Linked DNA regions of Neodiprion lecontei. The protein of the gene in region 1 purifies or fractionates together with the protein of each later gene. This does not show direct contact. Links are inferred from orthologs where the notes say so. Each region holds a gene or a part of one and is shown on either strand. Other genes may lie near its edges. The genes, in order: cytoplasmic FMR1-interacting protein and probable protein BRICK1-B.

The links.
Region 2: the proteins of cytoplasmic FMR1-interacting protein (region 1) and probable protein BRICK1-B purify together in Drosophila melanogaster (affinity purification with western blotting; 4 studies listed by BioGRID). This does not show direct contact. The link is inferred for Neodiprion lecontei from reciprocal best matches to the Drosophila melanogaster genes Cyfip and HSPC300.

Annotation. Positions count from the first base shown.
Region 1 is NC_060265.1:7,521,578-7,526,589, reverse strand, and holds the start of cytoplasmic FMR1-interacting protein, read left to right. Parts: upstream 1-1,788; 5' UTR 1,789-1,882; intron 1,883-2,260; 5' UTR 2,261-2,279; coding exon 2,280-2,489; intron 2,490-2,570; coding exon 2,571-2,750; intron 2,751-2,856; coding exon 2,857-3,038; intron 3,039-3,146; coding exon 3,147-3,671; intron 3,672-3,775; coding exon 3,776-3,980; intron 3,981-4,105; coding exon 4,106-4,451; intron 4,452-4,552; coding exon 4,553-4,723; intron 4,724-4,841; coding exon 4,842-4,924; intron 4,925-5,012. UniProt on the Drosophila melanogaster protein: Plays a role in guidance and morphology of central and peripheral axons and in synaptic morphology. Also required for formation of cell membrane protrusions and for bristle development.
Region 2 is NC_060264.1:4,293,996-4,297,744, forward strand, and holds probable protein BRICK1-B, read left to right. Parts: upstream 1-2,131; 5' UTR 2,132-2,268; coding exon 2,269-2,389; intron 2,390-2,701; coding exon 2,702-2,784; intron 2,785-3,138; coding exon 3,139-3,165; 3' UTR 3,166-3,235; downstream 3,236-3,749. Other genes in the region: transmembrane and coiled-coil domain-containing protein 4, read right to left, coding at 1-89, 163-404, 535-667, 794-805, 1,275-1,574, 1,682-1,745; uncharacterized protein LOC107227299, read right to left, coding at 3,418-3,647.

The DNA.
Region 1 (5,012 bases):
CGACCATATCTGGGGAATGTAACGCAAATATAGAACAGTTTTTGTTGATTTTATTCGGAATAAATTTTCAGGAAAATTTTTTGTTGTGCATTGCAACGAAAATCATTCAGAACCTAATTAACAATTATCCGTCTACATACACTTATAGAAGATAATGTGTACGTACAACTTTGAAAGCATGCTGCTGGTTCGTTTGATTTCGTTTATTTTGTTTCCACGCACGTGCAAGGGGTGTGAGATATATTGTTCCAACACTGTTTGTTGTTATTCAAATATTTGTACTTATAGTTTGCAGAGTGTACTAGGTTTTGTCTATAGTTGATAATAATAGTTTTTTAGCCATTAATTGTGTGATGTGTGAATAGAGGCCGATGGTACGCATTATAAACCGCTATTAACACTAGACAGTATATAGAAAAAATATCCAGAAGTGCAACGGATCGAACTATATGACAACCATCACGAATGTAATTAATTACGAAAGTTTGAAACATGAACACGTGTCTGTATGTCTCATATTTTGAACTACTGATCATAGTAGTTTTATAAAAAAAAAAAAAACAGTTTATCGTGTGGGTATCAATTCTGAGATACCAGCAGTAGAGCTAAACAAGGTACATTGGTGAAATTTTGATTCTATCTGTGTACCAGTTGGTGATTGCGTAGCAATGTTCATTGAGTAGTTGAAAACCAAACAAGAAAGTTATATTTAGTAAAGCAAGAATAAACACACGTGGCCAAGATAATCTAATAGATCCTAAAAATGAGACTTAGTCGTTGAGTTTGAACATTACAATTAAAAGAGATTCAATGCTTTTTTTAGATACATGAAAATTGTAGGGCATATGTCTACGATATTGATTGGGCAATTCATGAGTCTATGAGCATCATGACCTGTGGTGTGTGAAATTTGAAAAACATGGTCTTAGTTTTAAATTTACTTTGATGATATCAAAGCCATATTTTTGGAACGCTTTTATCTCTCGCATTTTATTATTATAATTACACACATGTAACGTTTCTCAATGTGATATTATTAAGGTTGCACATTTTAATAGTAATTAATTACTGAATTCATTTATTATTGATTTGAATATACGTTTATTTCTAATTTTCTCTACTCCTAATTTATTACTTTTGATTCTTTTAATTTTCACGCTATTGGAAAATATTCTCACTTTTTAATTTACCTCATCATTTAATATGCGCACACAATTTCATATTAATTTGATAACTGCAGTACACATATATATTTATATAGCGAGTTGTAGATAACAAATTTGGAGATATCCCTGAACATTGTAGATTCTATTAATTTCAACTTTTCTTTTATATTATTATTTCAACGTAATTGTTATTGCTATTTAATTTGTTGGTGCGAGAATGAATGAATAGTCAATAGAATTCTCTATCGAAACCGAGCCAGGTAAAAAAAAAAATGAAAAAATATGTGCAATTTTTTGAAAATTGTAAAATTATATTGTCATCCATATTGTAAATTATTTGTAATATAGAATAGAGGTTTATTATTATACATATAGATCTAATTATCCGTCTAAAAGACTTTCGAATAAATTTTAAAATTTACCCAACTCTAGGTTCTGGTTTATCAATTTCCTCCTTCCCGTGCCATATTTATCATTAGCTGTATTTCAATACTCACCAACGGTCCGTGTAGAACTGCTTCCTGCTGCTCTGTTTAAATTACATTTCACCATGCAGCTACGCGTGGGCCTTTTTTTCTCAGGGTTTGGTAGGAATGATAAATTCCCATGGAACAATGACTTTTCCCAGAAGTCTCTTGAGTACTCTTTACCTTGGGGTGGAGTTGTCGGGTGACGTTTGTTGTCAATTTTTTCAACTGTGACAAATTATTGTGAAGGTATGTCTTATGAATAAAATTCGTGAAATATTAAATAAAAAATTTCACATACCTGACACTGGCTTGTCTTTAATCACGTTAACCAAATGATTATTTCCCACTTTCATTTCCTTGTTTGATTACTCATCTTATAAATATAACCTCGACAACAAAGAGGACATTTACTGATCTTCCCAAGAGTAAACAGAGCTCGTCTGTTAAATAATTCGAGTGTATTTCAAACTTGCTATTAAAAAATACAATAATCTCTACGTTCTACCTAAATTTTATGTAGTCTACTTTTCCGAAATTGTATGTGCGCAATCTTTAGCTGCAATCTTTACACATATTAAATCCTTCGATTTGACGCTTTACACCTATTTTATAATTCAATTTTAGACTATAGCAAAACACAGCAATGGCTACCGATAAGGTAACATTGGCTGATGCTTTATCAAATGTCGATGTACTCGACGAATTTACCCTGCCTGATGAGCAGCCTTGCATTGAAGCCCAACCGTGCTCCGTTGTTTATCAAGCTAATTTTGATACAAATTTTGAAGATAGAAATGGGTTTGTCACTGGTATTGCCAAGTACATTGAAGAGGCAACTGTACACGCTAGTTTGGTAAATTTATTCAGTTCACATTATGATCAACCCTATAATAGTTGGATAATTACTGTTATTTTCTTTATTTTTTACCTACAGAACGAACTACTCGAAGAAGGTCTAGAGCATGCGGTAATGTTATATACCTGGAGATGTTGTTCTCGAGCAATTCCTCAACCAAAATCCAATGAGCAGCCAAATCGTGTTGAAATATATGAGAAAACAGTTGAGGTCTTAGCACCTGAAGTGAACAAGTTGCTGAACTTTATGTATTTTCAAGTGGGTGATTTTTTATCCTAACTAAAATACAGAAGCTACAAATTTAATATACATCATAAATGAAAATGGAAAATAGTTATAATCATATTTCTCTTTGTTAAATCAGAGAAAAGCTATTGAAAGGTTTTCTGCTGAAGTTAAGCGCTTGTGTCACCATGAGAAGCGAAAGGATTTTGTCTCTGAAGCATACCTACTAACTCTTGGAAAATTCATTAATATGTTTGCTGTTCTCGATGAATTAAAAAATATGAAATCGAGTGTTAAGAATGATTATTCAACGTACAGAAGGTATGGGTATATATACTTTAAGCAAAAGTAAACAGTTAAAAGTTGAGAACAATCTCTAATCAATATTAACAATTTATTTGTATCACCAACTACATTATTTTATTTCAGAGCTGCTCAGTTTTTGAAAGTAATGACTGATTCGCAAACTCTTCAAGAGTCTCAGAATTTGTCATTGTTTCTGGCAACGCAAAATAAAATTCGTGACACCGTAAAAGAAAATCTAGAGAAAATTGCTGGGTATGAAGAGCTTCTAGCAGATGTAGTTAATATTTGTGTACACATGTTCGAAACGAAGATGTATTTAACACCAAATGAAAAGCACATGCTTGTTAAGGTCATGGGCTTTGGGTTATTTCTGATGGACAGTGACTTGTGTAACATTAATAAGTTGGATCAAAAAAAGAAGTTGAAACTAGACAGGATTGATAGAATATTTAAAAACTTGGAGGTCGTACCACTGTTTGGAGATATGCAAATTGCTCCCTTCAATTACATCAAACGGTCGAAGCACTTCGACTCTTCAAAGTGGCCACTTTCATCTTCTTCTAACAGTATGAGTCCACAAGCAGATCTTATGGTACACCTTCCTCAAATCAGAGAAGATCACGTCAAATACATCAGCGAATTGGCGAGGTATTACTCATAATATCAACACTGAACGTACACGATTATTCAATTTTGGAAAGTCTTCATACTTACGTTTGTATTTATAATAATCCATTTAACTTTCTGTTCAGGTACAGTAATGAAGTAACAACAACGTATAAGGAGTGTGGAAGTGATGGGGAAAATAGAGAAACAGCTGAATTGGCATTGCGAGGATTACAACTGTTATCGCAGTGGACCAGCGTTGTTACAGAACTGTATAGCTGGAAATTACTTCATCCTACGGACCATCACATGAATAAAGAATGTCCGCAAGAAGCTGAAGAGTATGAACGGGTTGGTAAAGTTCTAAAATTAAATTGATAATATGTTTCACATTCTTAGCCAACCGTCGTATTAATAATTAATCGACTACCTGCAATCCAAGCAAGGTCAATGAATAACAAGTTCAATTTCTGTAGGCAACCCGATACAATTACACAGATGAAGAAAAGTTTGCTCTGATTGAAGTTATAGCTATGATCAAGGGCCTGCAAGTTCTGATGGCTCGCATGGAAACTGTCTTTATCGATGCTATACGCAGAAACATTTACGCTGAACTACAGGACTTTGTACAATTGATTTTAAGAGAACCACTCAGAAAGGCTACCAAGAATAAAAAAGATTTGATTCGAAGTATAATTGTATCGGTCCGAGAGACTTGTGCAGATTGGCAAAAAGGCGTTGAACCTGTAGCGGACCCAGCTTTAAAGGGCAAAAAAGATCCAGACAATGGTTTTGTCATTAAAGTTCCAAGAAGAAATGTTGGTAAGTTTGGTTCACACATTTTTTTGCAATTATAAATATTACTAAGATATTGATTCGTGGCCATTGTACACATAATGAGATTTATTCCGAATTGTTTGAAGGTCCATCATCGACTCAATTGTACATGGTACGTACGATGTTGGAGTCACTAATTGCAGATAAGAGCGGAGGTAAGAGAACGCTGAGAAAGGATATAGATGGGCAATATCTCGTGCAGATCGATCAATTTCATAAAACAAGTTTTTACTGGAATTACTTGCTTAGTTTTAGCGGTAAGTCACTCGTATGTACAACTGTATGTACACGCTGTATCATTTCATATTTTGAACTACAAAACGTATATTGTTATCATTTTACCTTTTTACTGTCAATTAATAACTCTTATTCCAGAGTCATTGCAGAACTGCTGTGATCTATCACAACTCTGGTACCGTGAATTCTACCTTGAGATGACCATGGGCCGGAGGATTCAGGTAAACATAAATATTAGAAAACTACTATATAACAAGACCTAATAATTAATCACGCGATTTGAAAGCCGACGTGCCATAATTGACTATT
Region 2 (3,749 bases), on another chromosome or scaffold:
TTGTTGATCCACAGTTCCATAACCGGACAGAGTTAGGGGCTCGAATTCAAACTCCTCAATTTCCCCAACTCGTTTCTTCATTTTATATCCTGTGTGATAATCAAATCATTGAAACATTGACAACCTCTACAAACAATCATTAAAAACAGTTCAGTGTCAAACCTGTCAGTCCAGCTCCAGCCACTCCAAACAAGGAACCTATAATCGCAATACCAGCCGTACTGCCCAGTGCAGCTGCACTCGCACTTCCAAGTATTGTGCCTACTCCAACACCGATAAATGGTGCGGCTAAACCTCCGGTTAAACCTAACAATGTTCCACCTCCTATTGTGGCTAAGCCAATCGCTGCGTATCTCTTGATTCTACGTATTTTATCACGTCGTTCAGTCTCATGTTGCTCTGCCCTGTATTGAATATCAAAAATAATTATGAGACCCAATTTTATATGACAAGGATTACTATCGCAGAGGCAAAAAGTGTGTAAAAGAAAACAAAAAGTACATTAAGCAATGATTCAAAATATTATGTACATACTCTGTTTGTTCGCTTTGACTCTCATTCAACAATCTGACCAGGGAATGCTCATAGAATTCAATTAATTCAAATGGGACATTTAATAGTTCGGATACTCGTCTGATAAGTACTCTTTGTCTAGAATCATATTCACCTGGATTGAAAAAGTACATCAAATGAATCCATTGATATTGTATTTTGTGAAATCATCTACTACTAACTACACACATATAAATATATATATGTATATCAGTGCTTGTAATATTTTTAAGATTATTACCTGACACAATCCCTGAAGAAAATGTAAGAATACAAAAAAGTGATATGAAATATCGGTTTTCATAAACTGGTCGCATCAGAATGGTAGAAAAAATTTTATCATATTGTAAAAATGTTAAAATTTATGATGAAAGTGAACATAATGAGTGTAAATGATACCTACAATTTTACAATATCTGTGTGAATCGGTTTTTATTTTGCCTTCTCGCAAGATATGATTGAGCAACTCTATGCATGTGAAACACAGATTCAAAATTCATCTCGTCTGTACCCAAAACCCCTGCCAATTTTTCTCCTGGTAAGAATATTGTTAGGAACTTGTGTACAATTGATTACTCTGCTGTTAATTGTTCCATTTACTAAATGTATGGATGAAAGATTTTAGTTTGTGGTATATTACTTTTCAATCTTTTATAAATGGGTAACTGAATACGTAATGGCTGATGTATGAATATTGCATTGAAAAGTAAAAATTTATTCACCATTACGCACAGCCAGTAATACCAAATCCTGTACAACTAAAATTGTTTTGCCTTTTAAATTGGGTTCTTCCATAAGCAAAGCAATATAAGGCTCCTGGGACTGCTCGCTTTTTCCCTCGCTAAGATACATCATTACAGGTTCGTTTTTTTCATTCATTTTCAAATGCTGACAGATCATTTTCATGCATAAATTATTGTAGGCATGATCGCTGGGATCTGAGAACAACTCCGCCAAAGTTAGCGCACATATAGCTCCATATGCGTATAATCCAGCTTCTGATATGTCCAATTCTTTTATACCTGTAATATAAATCATCGTTAATTACATCTATGCTATTTTATAAGAAAGGATTAATTTTCATTGATCAACCAGTGTACAAGTATATATTATGAGTCGAAAAACTTACCTTTCTTTTCAGCCGACGTCTGTTGTTTCAATTTTGAATCCGGACAGCTGTCTTTAGATGACATTTTATCAACTGTGTATCAGACGTCGTGCGTTATTAAAAAATTTTATAGATATCGTTTACAAATTGTGCACACGATTCACCATCGACGCTCTTAATCAGTAGACACACAATATATCACGCTATTGACGGAAATGAAAATTCCACATTTACTGCAATCCAGCAACAGCGTTGGGAAGTTTAACCTAACCTAGAAATACGCTCTCAGGGAAAAATAAAAATACTTGTGAAAATACTATTTGTCACATGAGCGTATATGTTTTATACAAATCACGGTACTGTATAAAATAATTGAAGCCGGTATTTTCATTCGCTAATATCCGAAATCATGCAGTTTTTCCTCATTCATGTTTCAAGTGTCACTTGTGACACTTGTGACGTACGTGAAATTATCAGCAGAAATTCATGCGCACTTTAGTCTTGCGCCGGTTTTACGAACCTACGATCGCTCAAGGGATGGTCAGATTAGGTCCTGACAGCAACAGTGAGTAAGACGCGAAACTGAGGTTTGTGTAAAGCCCTAAATAATGGCTGCAATTCACCGAGAGGCAATACAGAAGCAAATCCAACAGGATTGGGCAAATCGCGAATACATCGAAGTTATAACTGGAAGTATTAAAAAAATCACCGACTTCCTTAATTCATTCGGTATGAATTAACTTTTCACTTTATCCTTAGGTTATGTTCACTTCATTCCGCTGCTCAGTGTTTATTACAGTTAATAAAAACTAAACACTCGTGTGTCAATTATCCAAGCCTAGATTAAGTATTATGATTTTCAGTCACACTTCAATATCTAATTATAAACATTTTTGCTCCTTCGGAGTTGTATCTTTTTCTCACGAAGGATCAATCATTGTCCAACTCATGATAGAAATCATTTCTGAAGTTACCGAATGTAGAGAGTGAGGATATTTACAATCCGGAAGCTGCTTTATTCAATATCTTCATTGTTTACAGATATGTCATGCAGGTCACGACTGGCTGTTTTAAATGAAAAACTAACAACATTAGAACGTCGCATAGAATACCTTGAAGCATGTGTAAGTTACAATTTATAGATGCTAGCTCAAAATCAGCTCAGTGTTATAAATGCCATTGAAAATTACATTAAAATTTTACCTCAGATAAAACCATCTAGTGAAAATATCTCAGGATAAGCTTTAAGAACAGCTTAGAATGATAATTTTTTTAATGTCAGAATTGAACTATCGACTGTTTTTTCGTATGTTAATCAAATACGAATGACTCATTAGACTTGTTACGGCATTGTAAGTGTGCTGAAAATTCCAATGAGTATTCTGAATGATGTACTAAATTCGAAAATGAGTTACTACCTACACACTTTTCAGAAAATTATCAGACTACAATCTAACAGTCGTTTTTTGCCTTTTCAGGTAACTAAAGGAGAAACCTTGACATAACATGACATATATGTATATAAACGTATAATTTAAATTAAATATCAATAATAATAATAATAATAATAATTTACGCATAGAAACTTTCACCTCTTTAATATGTATGTACAATAAATAATGTAAACTATTTGAACCGAATAACTGTATTTATACGTTTTTTTATATACATCCTCTCATGCGACAATAGCAAATGCATGATGACGTACAACCATATTAAGGTAACACTATTTTTGGAAAATGTGCTTGATTTTTTAATCAAGCCCCAGTCGTCCAACCTTTCTCTCCAACAGGAAACAAACTGGAGTCATGATGAGGACTTCTGTGATTTCCGTAAATTCGCTGTACGTTATTAAGATCACCCATAACGTATCCTTTAGTGAATCCATCTTTTCTAACGCAACAAAATGCCCCGGTCATTACAGCAAGGGGCCATATAAAGATAGGAGCCTTAAACATGTAACCCAAGAGACTTCCGGCTGCCATACCTTTGACATAGGATAGATGAGTTGCATGGGATGTAAGAAAAGTGCAATTTTATAAAATTTTCTATTTTATGACGAAAGACATGTAATGTGATTTTATAATAA